Linked DNA regions of Danio rerio. The protein of the gene in region 1 interacts with the protein of each later gene in a pairwise test. Links are inferred from orthologs where the notes say so. Each region holds a gene or a part of one and is shown on either strand. Other genes may lie near its edges.

Evidence for each region.
Region 2: the proteins of creb5a (region 1) and spry1 interact in binary tests that used the Homo sapiens proteins (3 or more experiments, as listed by UniProt). The two-hybrid records come from large-scale screens. The link is inferred for Danio rerio from reciprocal best matches to the Homo sapiens genes CREB5 and SPRY1.

The regions. Positions count from the first base shown.
Region 1 is NC_133194.1:21,758,821-21,767,901, forward strand, and holds the start of creb5a (cyclic AMP-responsive element-binding protein 5), read right to left. Parts: upstream 4,724-9,081; 5' UTR 4,663-4,723; intron 3,524-4,662; 5' UTR 3,508-3,523; coding exon 3,451-3,507; intron 3,322-3,450; coding exon 3,228-3,321; intron 2,110-3,227; coding exon 2,006-2,109; intron 1,585-2,005; coding exon 1,391-1,584; intron 487-1,390; coding exon 429-486; intron 337-428; coding exon 256-336; intron 1-255. UniProt on the Homo sapiens protein: Binds to the cAMP response element and activates transcription.
Region 2 is NC_133189.1:683,392-690,302, reverse strand, and holds spry1 (protein sprouty homolog 1), read left to right. Parts: upstream 1-4,047; 5' UTR 4,048-4,441; coding exon 4,442-5,320; 3' UTR 5,321-5,332; downstream 5,333-6,911. UniProt on the Homo sapiens protein: Inhibits fibroblast growth factor (FGF)-induced retinal lens fiber differentiation, probably by inhibiting FGF-mediated phosphorylation of ERK1/2. Inhibits TGFB-induced epithelial-to-mesenchymal transition in lens epithelial cells.

The DNA.
Region 1 (9,081 bases):
TTCTATAAAATACATTAAGCCTGTAGAGAGTCCTCATAAACCACCAATACCAACAAAAGTGTGTGTTTGAATGAAGCTTTTTTTTTAACAAGCAGGACTAAAACATTGCATGTGTTTGAATTAGATAACTCAGTCAAGAAGTCTACATTAGTTACCAAGTACTGTGTCATTATAACCCATGTCTGGCTTGTTCTGTTTCTATAGAGACATCATAATCCTGTAACTATGGAGTCACATCATTAGATGGGACTGTACCTGAACGGAGGAGCATGAGCCAGAGTGGGCGGGTCCTGGTATGCCAATAATACTGGAGTTCATTGACATCTGTGACTCCATCTGTCGTTTAAATTATATTTTCAGTTATTGTGATGCATAATAAGGAACAGATGTATAATTTCAATAATTATTAGTCTTCACTTTATACTTACATTCATGTTTGATTTGACAGTGTTTGTCTGTCTGCTGTGTAGACAACTGGGTGCAGATCTGTAATGAGCCAAAAGGGCCTAGATGAGTAGTTAGCAAAATCTTAAAATGAATCTAAAAAAACAAATAATTTATTTACTTACTGGAAAGAAGTTTAGAATGTCAGAGACTTACAAATTATTGAATTTAATAGTAAAGGGCAAAATAGTGTAAAATATTTTAAGGGGAAACATTAATTTGCATTTTATAAACATTTTTACACCGAGATGTTAAGCTGGCAATTTTTTTTTAAATAAGCAATGCTGCTTTAACATCCTTTTCTTGACATGTTTTTAGGTGTGAGGACAGAACAACTTATCACTCACATGAGATCAACCAATCTGCTTGTTAAGCCTGATATTATATTTTCAGGTCCAAACGCCTAATCTCAGATGTTCTAAGACCTGAAAGCAGTATTCTATAACTTAAGAACCACTTTCTGTGAGGGTCCATATATTAAAATCCCTGGAATTTATTAATTTATTTATTATTTATTCATTGCCACAACAGTAACATAACTATTTCATGGCAAAATGGATATACATAAACATATTGCATGATAAAAACAAATACGTATAACAATAAAAAGTTATAAATATATAAAATATAAATAAAATAAAATTCACACAAAAATATATTCAAAGGTAAATAAAATTTTCAGTTAAATTTTTGATAAATTATTTAAGATTCTTACTGGTGGTTCCCTGGAATTTAAGACTATTAATTTATAATCACGTTTTTGAAATTAGGCTACCCCATATATTGAGGTCTCTCAAAGGAAATATATTATTGAGAAAGTGAAAGTAAGAAATATATATTTTTTTACATTTGCTTGTTTGATATTAGTTTAAGTTATCTGGGCCCCCTTTTTGAGAACCAATGATATAATAATATTCCTGGTACAGTATATTTTGGTGACACTCACTGCTTATTTGAACTGGAGTATGTGGCAGTGCATTGAGACTGACACTGTGAGCTGTGCGTCTGGAGCTGGTTCTGGTTCAGATGGGCCAGTGCACACGACTGCTGTTGCTGAGGCTGAAACTGCTGATGTTGACCTTGCTCAGGTTGTGTTTCGGTGTGAGGCTGCCTCTGAGCTGACGTCTGTGCAGAAAAGTTCTAAAAAGAGGAAAAGAGCACACTTAATTTTGAAGGTCTGTTTGTTGAATTTAAGTTACATTGCATCTACATGCCAACTAGTTCTCATTAGATAATAAGTTAGGTTGAGGTTAGGGTTAGTGTAAGTCAGTTCAATGATCAAGTTAAACTTATAGTCAGTTAAATGTCTGTTAAAGGAGCAGTTTCAACTTTTTTTGCCACTCTGCCCTTCTATAGAGATCTGTATATGAGAACTGTTTTAATACCTTTAATTCTTAGTACATTCCACATATTATGGACATACACACATATGCAAATATGGAATTAAATGTAAAACTTAACTAGCTTAAAGACTTCTATTTGTGGTAAAGACTGTTAAGCAAATTAATATATTATTCATTTGAACATGTGTGTAAGATTTGAAACATGAACTTCCTCTCACCGGTTTGGTCTGCTCTTCCGTCTGAGACTGGTTAAGCTCCAGGTCAGTAAAGAGGCCCACTTCCTCACAGTCCCGTAAGAAACGAGTTGGTGTTGGAGTCTGATCTATAGATGAACAAAGAGTACATATATGTCAAATCACAAATGCAAAGAGAATGCCACACATAAAAATGTCACTGGCAATAAATAAAGGAAGTCAATACGATAGGGATTTTTATTAATTAGAACAAGGTGAGTTCATTTATAAAGTACATTTATATCAGAAAAAAAATAATAATAAATTAAAAAAATATATAGAAAAATATCTATATTTTCAGGCAATAATTTTTTTCAATATATTCACAAATAAGAAACAAAGAATGCATAAATCTGATTATACCATCTCATACACAGTATACATGAATAAATATTGTATTATTATATTGTTTTATAGATAGGTGTATGCTACATACAATATTATAAATAATGCATTTTTATAACAGGGTTATCTATGTATCTCTAGAATTATTTTGAGGTGGTATGGTGTTTATAATATATATTGAATATTTAAATATGTCATACACTACATGTAAACATAGGAGGCATGTCATAGGGTCATAGAACAAAATAAAGTAGATCAATATCAAGTAACTTCCAGGCCTTCTAAACAAATGTAGAAAAGCTAGCCTTCTTCTCAATGTCATAAGCGAAACATGTCAGAAGTACTCTCGTGACATGCTGAAAAAATGGTAAAAATTAACCCTATGTCATAAACATGAGCCTGATTTTGCTCTCGCTGTTTTGGTAATTTAGAGGTAGTCTAAACCAAACGCTTTTTTCTAGACTACCATGAAAGAGGTCAGAAGGTAAAGCCCTTCTTTTGTTTTTTATGTAAATGTTTCTGCCGCTCCAGTGATGGCTCACAGACCCCAAAGGTTAAGGGTCAGGCTGATGTTTATATGTCAGACATTGAGTTTCCAGGGTAACAGACATTGTCTAAATCCTAAATTAAAGGAGATGGAGAACATGACCTATCATGACACTCAAACACATATTCTCTTTTCCCAGGCTCTTATATTTCTGACCCACAGAATTTAGATTGACACTGTCGTTGTTCTGACAATCCTAATATAACATTGATTATAAAATACCCTTTCAGTGTGTAATTATGTGTGTGTGTGTGTGTGTGTGTGTGTGTGTGTGTGTGTGTGTGTGTGTGTGTGTGTGTGTGTGTGTGTGTTTACCTGAAAGCATACTGTCACACTTAATAGAAGGGAATTTAAGCGTCATCTCATGTTTGTGTCTGTGGATGATTAGGTGGTCTTCTCTTTGGAAGCTCTATAAGAATCAGAAACAAAATTGATGTAGAAATAAATGTTAAAAAATTATTTAGAAGTATTAAACTATGAATCAATTATAGCTTGCAAAAATGACAATCCGCAGCAAAACAGGACATCTGTCACTCACCTGCGAGCATCCAGGAGCAATGCACACAAATGGCCTGTCCTGATCAACATTCATCATCTGAGATGTAAAAGACCTAATAAAAATACACATACAAACACATGCGCAGTGGAGATGACATTATGAAGTGCTCATGACAAGCAGCCAGATATAAATGACACCTACATATATTGTCTGTCTGTCTGCCTGTCTAAATAGATAAATAGACAGAGACTTTATGAACCCTTTTTAATGCCAGACTGACAGACAGACAGACAGACAGATAGATAGATAGATAGATAGATAGATAGATAGATAGATAGATAGATAGATAGATAGATAGATAGATAGAATCTAATTACTGAAACTATTTGTATTGCTTTCAGTTCTCCATATTTTGTTCACATTTCCCTATAAATGAATTGTCTTCTGTGTACAGTGCGTGCTCTCTGTATATGATAAGTACCTTATAAAACGCATGCTTCTAGCCCGGTTACTCATAAAATGATCATTCCTCTAGTTATGACATCATCGTTTAGTTGAGCCGGGCAAGAGTTTGAATTGGCAAGACGGGTCTACGGTGCTAATGCCAAGCGTCTAACTGGCCTGCAGAATGACGTAATGGCGAAACCAGAGGATTCACGCGGTGTCACGAATATTACAAACCCAAACAACCAAGAGCAGACATCTCACCAGCGGCAGATATGTTAATTTAGCAGAAAAAAACACAGTAAAGTTGGCTGATTCACCCTGAAGTATATCTGTCGGCAGGTGTCATCCACGGTTTGATTAAACACAAAGCGAATGCAAATACTTTCTTCCTCTAAACATGCACATGTGTTTGATTATAACCGTTAAATCGTGTTCGATTTAACGTAAAATTCGAATAGGCTTCGAACCGCTAACTGTCCAACATTCGCTCCGGTTGCTGACAAGTTTGTTTACACTCTTTACTAAAGATTTGCAAAGACGACAGTTTTCAGTCAGAACCTTTTTTATATGAATATTGTTATCGCCTGTTTATTCGGCGGTGTCACACCCCCTCAAACAAACATTCTAACAGTTTGCGCCCATCTCAGTGGAAACCGGCACTTTGACATAACTTGACAGTAAAACAACAACAACCGCATCAAAAACCCACAAAACACTGTACAAAACAAGTAAACTGTTTGCGCTGTAAATCAGGTGTTTAATTATATTCAAAAGACTGACTGTAAAACAGTAACACTAACTTACCTAAACGCACGCAGACTGAGACAAGCAACGCTCCTCGCGCTGGGACGAAGCACGCTGAAGTGAAACGCGATTACAATATGATCTATTTACAGAAGCATTACATCACCTTGTGGTGACGTCACGTGGGATTCCTGAACTTCTAAATCATTGCGGTCCGCTTTTTAAAAAGAGGAGGTGCTTTCAGACTCCGCGCACCCGCCCACCGGAGGATGTAGCGGGCGTCCGATGCGGACATTGGAGCGTTGAGGGAGAAAAAAGGAAGGGGAGGCGCTTTACTGCGTGCGTGCTGCGCCAACAGCTGTCTGGAGCTGTGCGCGGGACGGTCCCGATTAACGTATGGTGTGTGTGTGTGTGTGTGTGTGTGTGTGTGTGTGTGTGTGTGTGTGTGTGTGTGTGTGTGTGTGTGTGTGTGTGTGTGTGTGTGTGTGTGTGTGTGTGTGTGTGTGTGTGTGTGTGATAAAGAGAAGAGAGCGGGCATGTATGAGCGCGTTAACTGCTGGCTTAACCCGTATATCCAAATGATTACCAGACGTTTGTTTTTTCCGACGGCCAACCAAATAAAACACGTATTTCTTTCCTTTTGTGGTTACAGTACCAGTGGAAAACAGTAAGATACAACTGGTCAGTTACTCAGTATGAGAAGAAAACTGCAAACCTTCAAGTAGCCTAAACTTATAATATTTATTTATTTATTTTTTATTATTTCACTTTCAATTGATTTTATTGCCACTTTATTGAAGATTTGGACTTTTAATATGATTTAAATTTTTTTTTTTTGAGAGTAAGTTAAGTTTTAATATTTATTTTTTTAAATAATAGCTTATATATTTTAAATATTTACAGAGGCCTAATATTGTAAACACACTTGGTAATGTTGGTAAGTGTTGATAATTAACTTTTAATCAAATGCATCTACTATACCGCTGTACTTTAAACACTTTAGACTCTTTTTAGAAACCTAAATGGAATACATTTTGTTTGGAGTGACTAAATATTTATGCTTTGTTACTTGTTTCAAGAATGTTTTGTTTAATCATCGTGTTAAACCACTGATGTCATGATTTGAAATGTATGACAGAATGTGGATACTTTCAGATTGTGTTAAAACTAAGGGGTGTGTCTGATGTTTCAGAACAACGTGGTCCTTTTGTGGTCATCGCAAGGGAAAGAGTGCAAGAAAACACACAAGTGGGAGGGAGGAAAATACAGTGTGAATCATTAGCCTGCTCTAACTCAGAATGCTAGTAGCTGTTTCCCCAGCAACACCACAAAACAGGAAGTGGTAATGATGTCACATCAAGCCCCAGCCTTAGCTGACTCCTACATCTTTGAGTATGAATCATTCACACACAGAGACAATGCAGCAGAGGGCATGCATCCACAGGCCTCATGACATCATCCATGTTTCTCCAATGATATAATTCAACTTAAAAAGGAACTGTCAGGTTCACCTTTTGTTTCACCATTCTATTATAATCTATAAAATTATAAATTCATGTTTTATTCAAAGTGACTTACAAAAGAGAAACTTAAAGCATTTTGTTACAGATAACAGTAATTAAACAAAATGTAAGGTGGTGCAGTGGTTAGCACTGTCGCCTCACAGCAAGAAGTTAGCTGGTTCAAGCCCCAGCTGGGCCAGTTGCCATTTCTGTGTGGAGTTTGCATGTTCTCCCCATGTTGCGTTGGTTTCCTCCGGGCGCTCCAGTTTCTCCCACAGTCCAAAGACATGCAGTACAGGTGAATTGAAAAAACTAAATTGGCTGTAGTGTATGTGTGTAAATGTGCAACTGTATAGGTGTTTCCCAGAACTGGCTAGCAGCTGGAAGGGCATCCGCTATGTAAAACATATGCTGGATAAGTTGGCGATTCATTCTGCTTTGGCCACCCCTGCTGAATAAAGGGACTAAGCCGAAGCAAAATTAATGATTGAAAACATAATGCATTTTGACTGATTTCACAAGGACATTGTTCTCTTTTGGATGAGAATATGGAATTTGTACACACAGAAATCCATAGACCTTTTCAAATAAATTGTTATCATTAAGTCTATATATTTACTTATGTAAATGTGTGTAAATGCATACATATTCAGTTTTTTTAATAATCGTTTTTAGGGGTTTTCATCTTTATTTTGATAGGACAGTGGAGAGTTATAGAGAGGAAAGTATGGAGAGGAGAGATAGGGGAAGGATCGGCATAGGACCTCAAGCCGGTAAACGAACTTGGGTCACCGTGAGCACCTCAGTGCAATGAGTCGACTCACTAAAATAATAAATTGGACAGGCCTGCAAAGATTGACAACTGTTTTATAAAATAGATATTAAAAACAAACAATAATAGTACTGGATTACTTTACAGTTCAGTTGCACAAGCACATACACTGCATTTTCAGTGTCTCACACTATAGTATTTGTTGCCTCAACTCAAAAACATAGGTAGAACCAGCGTCTTTTAAGTTGCGCCCCATACTTCCAATTCTGCAGGTGGTGGAAAATGCACCATTAAGTTAGTTTGCCAACTTCCAGTTAAACACCAGAAGACAGACACATAGGATATTTATCACCAGATTTTTTTTTAATTGTTCAATCATTACATTTGGTAAGTAATACTCCTTCGAATTGTGTTAACTGATATATATGAACTTATTATGTATTGTTGTTCATTCATTAATTTTCTTTTTGGCTTTCCTTCCTTTTGGCAGATTAAACCTTTTATTTGGACACATTTTTAAAGCTTAGTAAAGTTCTCAAGTTGTGAGAAAAACTACAGTAAAATCTTTCCCAGTGATTATTTGATGTATTTTTTTGTGGAGTTAATGAGTTAAGGAGAATGATGAGACACACACAACGTCATTACAAAGTTGACAGACAGATACACACACAATGCTCGCATTTAATTTTTCACTGTTGTTGCATGCAAATGTGACAGGATACAGGTTAATATCCACTGCTGTATGGAAATCCGTTATGTTGATGTACAAAGTAAACCTGATTTAATGTCCTCAAACCAGGATTGAAACATCTTGTTATTTTTGTACTGATACGTGGCTGCGGTGATAAGTACAGCTGAAGTTAATTGGTGTAATACATTACAAACATGAACTGTTTAAAACTTGTAAAACATATTCTTGATCAGATTTGATAATAATTGATCATCACAGCGAGCTGAACAGATTTTTAAAATCCAGTTGCTTTGTGCTCGTGTTGTGGCTGTCAATCAATTCGTTGGGTGAGTAAACCACACCCTTACATCAAGTTGCGATGGGCCTCAAAACGGGAGGGATTTGGATCCTATTGTCTTTATATCATCCCAATTAGACTGTAGACACACTATACCTACACACAGTTCTGTCCAAACAGCTTCCAAAAGATAATTTTCATCATAGGTTTTTCAATAATTCACCTAAATGCAATTTTGTCATACTAAAGGTTGCGGCAAATTCCTAGAGGAAGATTGACTTACAACAGGTGAGATTCACCAAATATATCCCATCATATGTATACAGTAAACAAATATTTTAGCAACAGCAGACAGATAATCTTGAAAGATTTCAATAAATTCATATTTTAAAGTTTAATGATAAGCTAATATTTCAAAGGCTTTATTTTTGTTTTCTTCATAGAATCACATCAAGCAGTGCGGGGCATTTGCTGTTGGAGCTACAAGTTTCACTACATTTCACAACAACTAATCGGCGAACACTAAAAGCTGAAGCACTACCATCACACAAGTAATGGTTTGTAGGTAAATAACATTTGGTATACCCATGTTGTGTTTATGTATTTCAGCTTCAGTGTTTTAGATGTTGTAATATAAATAAATAAATGTAACAACTTTGATGTTAGGCATTTTTATACAGGAAACAGATTTCAAAGAAGAGCTGAGCAGAGGGATGACCCCTGCAATCATCACAGTGATGGAAGATGTGACATACCACTTTCATGTGACTCAAGTGATGCAGCCCTTGTAATTGAGGAAGCAGTTGTTCTGCAAGGACTTGGTGGCATAAGAAGTCAGAAACATATGTTGATGGACATTGGAGCAGATCTCTGTAGTGCAAAGTACACTCACTTTAAAATACATTAAAATAAAAATATTGAGATCGGATTTTATCATTTTCTATTGCTCTGCTGTCATTTTTTCCCCCACAAAGAGCCTGTGTTAGTAAAATACAATTATAAAATGTAAGTTAATTGTTTGTAATTGCTAAATAAAGAGTAAAATCCTTTAATAAATGTGTAATGTATTTTGTTGTCTGTTCTGTTTTATATTGAGAAAATCTGCTAGTTTAAGTGCAGTGAACTTGAAAAGTAGAGGTAGTTCAGCTAAACTTAGCAAGTTCTGCTAACTTGATAATGAAAGTTCACCTTAAAGGTCCAGTTTACTTGTAATAAGTAGTTACGTAGGTGGCACGGT
Region 2 (6,911 bases), on another chromosome or scaffold:
AGTGACTTTTATTGACATTTTAGTGGTTTAAAGTGATATAATGAATGAGAAATATTATCTAGAGAAGAAATAAGTCTGTAAATCAACAGAAAATATAGGCAACTAGTAGTATTACAATGTATTATAGCGCAATGTGCAACACCAACCCAGACGATATTTCACTTTAAACTAATAATATTGTTCAGAAAACTCTCTTAATAAGGCTAAAAGTTGTCAAAGGAAACATTAAGAGCTGATAATGCAAGTCAAAAGCAGAAATAAACAATGAAAATAACAAAAATAAAAACATGAAGCGCAAAATACCGAAAACTGCTAATTACCGGATATTTTACAGTGTTTTTAACAGGGGAAATCATTTGCATAGGACTTTCGATCGTTGTTAATATTAATTGCGCATCTGTTATTAAAGTAAAACGCTGATTGTGTGGTATTTCCATGTATTGGTTGTGTTTTGCTTGTGATGGCCGGTCGTGCATTATAAAGCGTGTGAAGCTCAGTGTTTGATTTGAAGTCTTCCTGCTCGGTGTGGCTCTGCATTTTAATGTTAAGCAGCCATACACATGCAAATCAGCACGGGAAGTATTTGTACTTTACTTCACTTGTGTGCTTATTGAGGTCGGTACAAAGTCTTGTTAATAGTCAACTCTCTCTCTCTCTCTCTCTCTCTCTCTCTCTCTCTCTCTCTCTCTCTCTCTCTCTCTCTCTCTCTCTCTCAATGCAATTTAATTCAAACTTGCTTTATTGACATGGCAAAAGTTATGTATAGCATTGGTAAAGCATCTGTAATGTTTACATTATACAGAACATATGGCATATTATAATAGTAGCGAGAAAAACAATTAATAATAATGAACAACCAACATTTTCGAATTAAACAATAATAATAAACAGCATACACTGTGAAAATATCCGTAAATTAGCAGTTTTTCGTATTTTATTATTGTTTTTTCTTTTTATTTCTGCTTTTGAGTTGCATTATGGGACCTTAATCTTTCTTCCAGCTACGTTCAACATTGGAAAGGTCGAGAAAAGTGACTTTTATAAACATTTTTAGTGGTTTAAAGGGCTATATTGTCTGTGCTGTGTTGTATATAACGCTATAAAAGCCTGGTCAGCACATGTTCTGTTCATTTACAGATTATTTCTACTCTAGATATTATTTTATTGTAGAATATATTAATTCAAACTACACAAATGTCAATAAAAGTCACTTTGTCAAACTGTAAAGGTGAATTTTCAACATCAAAAGTGAACAGAGCAGAGATCAACATCCCTTAATGCAACTCCCCATCGGAAATTGTTCAGATAACAGATGATTTTACAGTGTATTTAACAACCTCCAGCTTGATTGTGTGTGTGTGCGTGTGATGTCTCTGGTCGGGGGTTAAATGTCTCTGTGAATAGAGGAAACAGAGCTCGAGACCCGCACTTCACGCACACACACACACTGATTTAAGAGCGCTGTCTCTGTAAGTACATCTGCACACGTCCAGTCCGGATCCGCGAGCGCGCGAATTACCCGCTGTGAACGCGCATCCCGAACACCAGGGTGTGAATGGTGTGTCCGGGGGGTTTGACCCTCTAATTAAGGCTTGAACCCCCAAAGGAAGTGAAAAACAAAAGCGTGGGGCCCCGGAGAGCGTGCATGTGTTTCAACAGTTTTACAACGCTCCAGTAAACACTAATGCTAGATTACCGGTACGCTTTTCTTTGACCAAGTGCACTTAAAAATAAGGGTCCTAAAAAGATGCATCCAGTAAAATAAGCTTTAAGTGAATAATACTACAAGTATTTGTGGTTAAATATGTGTAATGCATTGTGAAGGTGTTCATGCATTAGTGTTTATTAAGAAAAAGTTATAATATGTGAGCACAAAAAAAAGAGTCAAATTTAAATAAAAACAGGTTTTTATTGTTGTTTGGATTGGAAAATATTTGGGTGTAAAAATCTGTTTGAATATCTGGAATCTGAACATGCAAAAATAATCTTAATATTGAGAAAAATCACAATTAAAGTTGCTTAAATGAAGTTCTTAGTGATGCATATTACTCATCAACATATATTTTTGAGATGTTTAACATAAGAAATTTACTGAATGTCTTCATGAAACATGATTATGTCAGATTCTAATGATTTTTTGGCATATAACAAAATATTCATGACTCATAGAGTGTATTTGGCTGTTGCCCAAAATATACCTGTGCAACATCTTAATGTGTTATTCTTGACTTTATACTTCTGTTATTCTGTTATACTTATACTGTTATAAAGAATATATAGATAAACCAATGTTTAGTTATTTAAAAGACCATTCAATTGTGATGGTTATAACCAATGCCTTAAAATTAAATTATATATATATATATATATATATATATATATATATATATATATATATATATATATATATATATATATATATATATATATATATATATATATATTAACCCTAACCCCAGCTCAGAGATAACTCCCGCCTGGTCTTTTAGCATGTAAGGGGGTCCAAGATCAGGTAGTTCTCGAGAGCTCTTCCTGGTAAAAAAAGAGGAGATAAGGTGGAAGGGGGGATTCTTCCAAAACAAAGATAAGGCAGTAGTGTGAATTAGGTCTATTTATTGAAGGATTGGATCAATTTGATTGGATTATTGCTGATTACCAATAAGAGGCCAGCCGCGATCAATCATATCACCTGCTCCTCTGGGAATTAATTTAAAAAGTCCACTTAAAAGTGCACTGAAAATATCACTGACATCAGTCAAACTGACTACAAATGTTAACTGCATTTAATTAAAAAACAGTAGAAATAGAGCTTAATCAGGTCATCACAGAAAGATGTTTAAACGTAATTAATGTGGAGAATAGGCATTGCAAACACCGTTGCATTAATTGCAGGCTGTGAAAGACCTCGCTCTCTCCCTCTCAGATTACTTTTAATAATTGACATGACTGTAAAAAGACAACATAGCCAAAGCTTGATATATGTGGAAGAGTATAACTATGAAAAAAGATCAAAATAATAGAAACTAAACATCATAACAATTAAATTGCATTGTCTTTCTCAATTTAATTCAATAATTGGTTTATTGGCATGACACATGTTACAAATGTATATATATATATATATATATATATATATATATATATATATATATATATACACAAACACACACACACACACACAATAAATAGTATAATAAATTATAATAATAAAAATAAATGAATAAATAAACAAATGTAAAGTAATTTAAAGTAAATTTTTTTTGTCCTAATATTACTCTCTCTCTATTTCTCTCTCTCTCCAACATATGGTGCTGTAAAGTTGTGCTTTTGTCTGTGGTAGAGATTAATTTAATGTTTAGCTATTGTTGTTTAATGTAGATTGCTGATTGACACACTGAATAAGTCATGCAGCAAATGTCTTTCTGTTACTTCAGCTTATTTTAATAAGTTATTCCAGGTTCATCTGCATGTTTTAAGTTCGACTAAGTTCAACTCCGCATGTTTACTCAGTTTGATTGATGTCAGGATTGATGACTGGAAAAGTTCATTTAATTCAAGTAAAAATATTAAAGCAGCAACAATTCATTACAGAGTATAGTCATGTAATTGTAATGAAGTACTTATAAAACCTCAAATCCCTCTTTCTCAAATATATGTTGCTATAAGATGTGTTTTTTTGCATTGTTAATTGATTTATAATTGTATAATTGTAGTGGTGTGACAGATCACAGATCTCACGGTTCGGATCGCACCAGTTTTCCGATCAGCCAAAACAGGGAGGAGACAAATAGCTTGCTTTCCATTTATTACTAAAACAGCACTGCGAGAAACACAACTTAGAACCTGTCATTTCACATGTATTTACTGTAAACATCAGTGTTTATATCTGAACTATGAACGGCTCTCAGTTCTCCTGTGTTATTGGATTGTAACTCTAACTCCACTCAAAAGACCTCCACGATTAAACACAGATCTGAACGCAGCGCTTTGAAGGATTAATAAATATGTGCACATCATCATCATCATCTTCACCTTTATAATTATGTTGCATAGGTGTTGGAATTGACATCCCGATCTAATGATGATGAGTTGTGCAGCTCTACACTGAATGCATTGATGCAGGATAAACTACTGCCGGAAAACTCTGGTGATAACTTAGGAAAGGCTTTAGATGCCTCCACAACTTCTTCAGCCATCATCATATTTTACAGAGCAGATTAAATGTGTTCATATATGTGAATCTTTTTGCGATCCTTATATTGGGCACGTGTGTTCCAAACTTTGGTTTATGATCGCTACAGATCACGGATCAACCATCATCCACTACACCCCTACATAACTGTAATAAAGCACTTATAAAACCTCATCTCTCTCTCTCTCCGTGTCTCTCAGGCTGTCAGATGAGCATTGCTGTGTGGTCTGGAGCTGCTGATCGTGTCTTATGGATCTCCGCGGTCAGCGTGGGCATGCGGACCCCGGGGCCGTCCTGTCCCTGGACCAGATCAAAGCCATTCGCAGTAATAACGAATACACTGAGGGCCCGGCAGTCCCCCGGAGACCGGCCCCGGGACCACCACCGCCACCGCGTCACGCACACAAACATGAGAGGACTCATGAAGTGATCCTGGTGAACGTCAACAATAATTACGAGCCACAATCCTCGTTATTAGTGCGTCCGCCGGGTCTCAGTAGATCCACCAGCACCGGGAGCTCCGAGAGCAGCAGCAGTGCAGGATCCGAGCTGGGTTTACTCTCCAGAACACCACAGCATCACAGGAACAGCGTACGGACTCAGCCCAAATCTCTGAACGCTCCCTTTCTGCCGCCGGACGCTCCCCTGAAACAGATGCATGCGGATAGCAGAGACTCTGCGCATCTGTACATCTGCGAGAGCTGCGGGAAGTGTAAATGCAGCGAGTGCACGGCTCCGCGAGCGCTGCCGGCGCGGCTCGCATGCAACGGATTGTGTTTGTGTTCGGCGGAGAACGTGATAGAGCAGGGCACGTGCATGTGTTTGGTGAAGGGCATTTTTTATCATTGCTCCAAGGACGATGACGATGTTGGAGACGCCTGCGCTGACAGGCCGTGTTCATTATCGCATCCGCAGTGCTGCTCGCGCTTTCTGTGCATGGGCCTGATGGCGACGCTGTTCCCCTGCCTGCTGTGCTATCTGCCCGCGAAAGGCTGCGTTAAAGCCTGCAACTCCTGCCATGATCGGCTGACGCGGCCCGGCTGCCGCTGCAAGAACTCCAACACTGTTTACTGCAAACTGCAGAGCTGGAACCAGACGCCGGGACACACGCCGGGGAAACCATCCTGAGGCACAAACTGATGGTGTATGGGGGGTAAAATGAGTATTGCTGACACGACAGGATTTCTCTCACTAAAATACGAAGAGTTCATCAATGCCATCAGACACTGTCTGCTGAAATGAGCATTTTGCTCAGCCTCCCATGTCTGTGTTTGGTTATTTGTGGCATGAAATGAAAGACTTTTTCCACTATCGTATTGTGCATCTGATTCAAACAGTCTTAAAATGAGAAAATACTAAAAAATACTGGATAATTGGAAGACGGGTGTTGTGAAACACAATCTAGGAAGATTGATGAATGGATAAAATCAGGGCAGACATGCCCTGATAACCCCGCCCTAAAGTTCAGATAGCCCCGCCCTAAATAACTGATAGCCCCACCCCAAAAGTCTGATAGCCACGCCCTAAAGGACTGATAGCCCTGCCATAAAGAATTGAAATCCCTAAAGGACTAATAGCTATGCATTAAAGTATTGATATTCCCGCCTTAAAGGACTGATAGCCCCGCCCTAAAGGACTGATAGTCCCGCCCTAAAAGACTGATACCCCCACCCTAAAGAATTGATATCCCCGCCCAAAGGGACTAGTAGATCTGCCATAAAGGATTTATAGTCCCGCCCTAAAGGACTGATAATCCCGCCCTAAAAGACTGATTGCCCCACCCCAAAGATTTGATATCTCCGCCCAAAAGGACTAATAGATCTGCCATAAGGGATTCATAGTCCCGCCCTAAAGGACTGATAGTCCCGCCCTAAAAGACTGATAGCCCCACCCTAAAGAATTGATATCCCCGCCCAAAAGGACTAATAGATCTGCCATAAAGAATTGATAGTCCCGCCCTAAAGGACTGATAGTCCCGCCCTAAAGAATTGATATCCCCGCCCAAAAGGACTAATAGATCTGCCATAAAGGATTGATAGTCCCACCTTAGAGGACTGATAGCTCCACCCTAAAGGACTGACAGTCTCTCGCTAAAAGACTCATAGCCCCACCCTAAAGAATTGATATCCCCGCCCTAAAGGACTAATAGCTCTGCCATAAAGGTTTGATGGTCCCGCCCTAAAGGACTGATAGCCCCGCCCTAAAGAATTGATATACCCGCACAAAAGGACTGATAGCTCTGCCAAGAGGATTGATAGTCCCGCCTTAAAGGACTGATTGCCCCGCCCTAAAGGACTGATAATCCCGCCCTAAAGGACTGATAACCCTGCCCTAAATATTTGATAACCCTAAAGGACTAATAGCTCTGCTCTACCATAAAAGATTGAGAGTCCCGCCTTAAAGGACTGATAGCCCCGCCCCAAAGGATTGAAAGTCCCGCCTTAAAAGACTTGTAGCTCCACCCCAAAGTACCTCTTCTTTGTCATAGAAGTGAAATAACTGAACATACACAGAAGAGGCTGAGAGAAATGCTCATTGTAGAAGAACATTTCACTCTTCACATGTTTCTAGAGGTGCTGATGACTTGAAATTGTCAGCAGATGTCGGTAACAACTAAAGTAATCCATACATGCAAAGAAAACACAACTGATTAGTTCAGGAATTTAGCTGTGTGTGGTAAAATGAAATGACACCAGGGAAAAGTATTGAGCAGATGAGT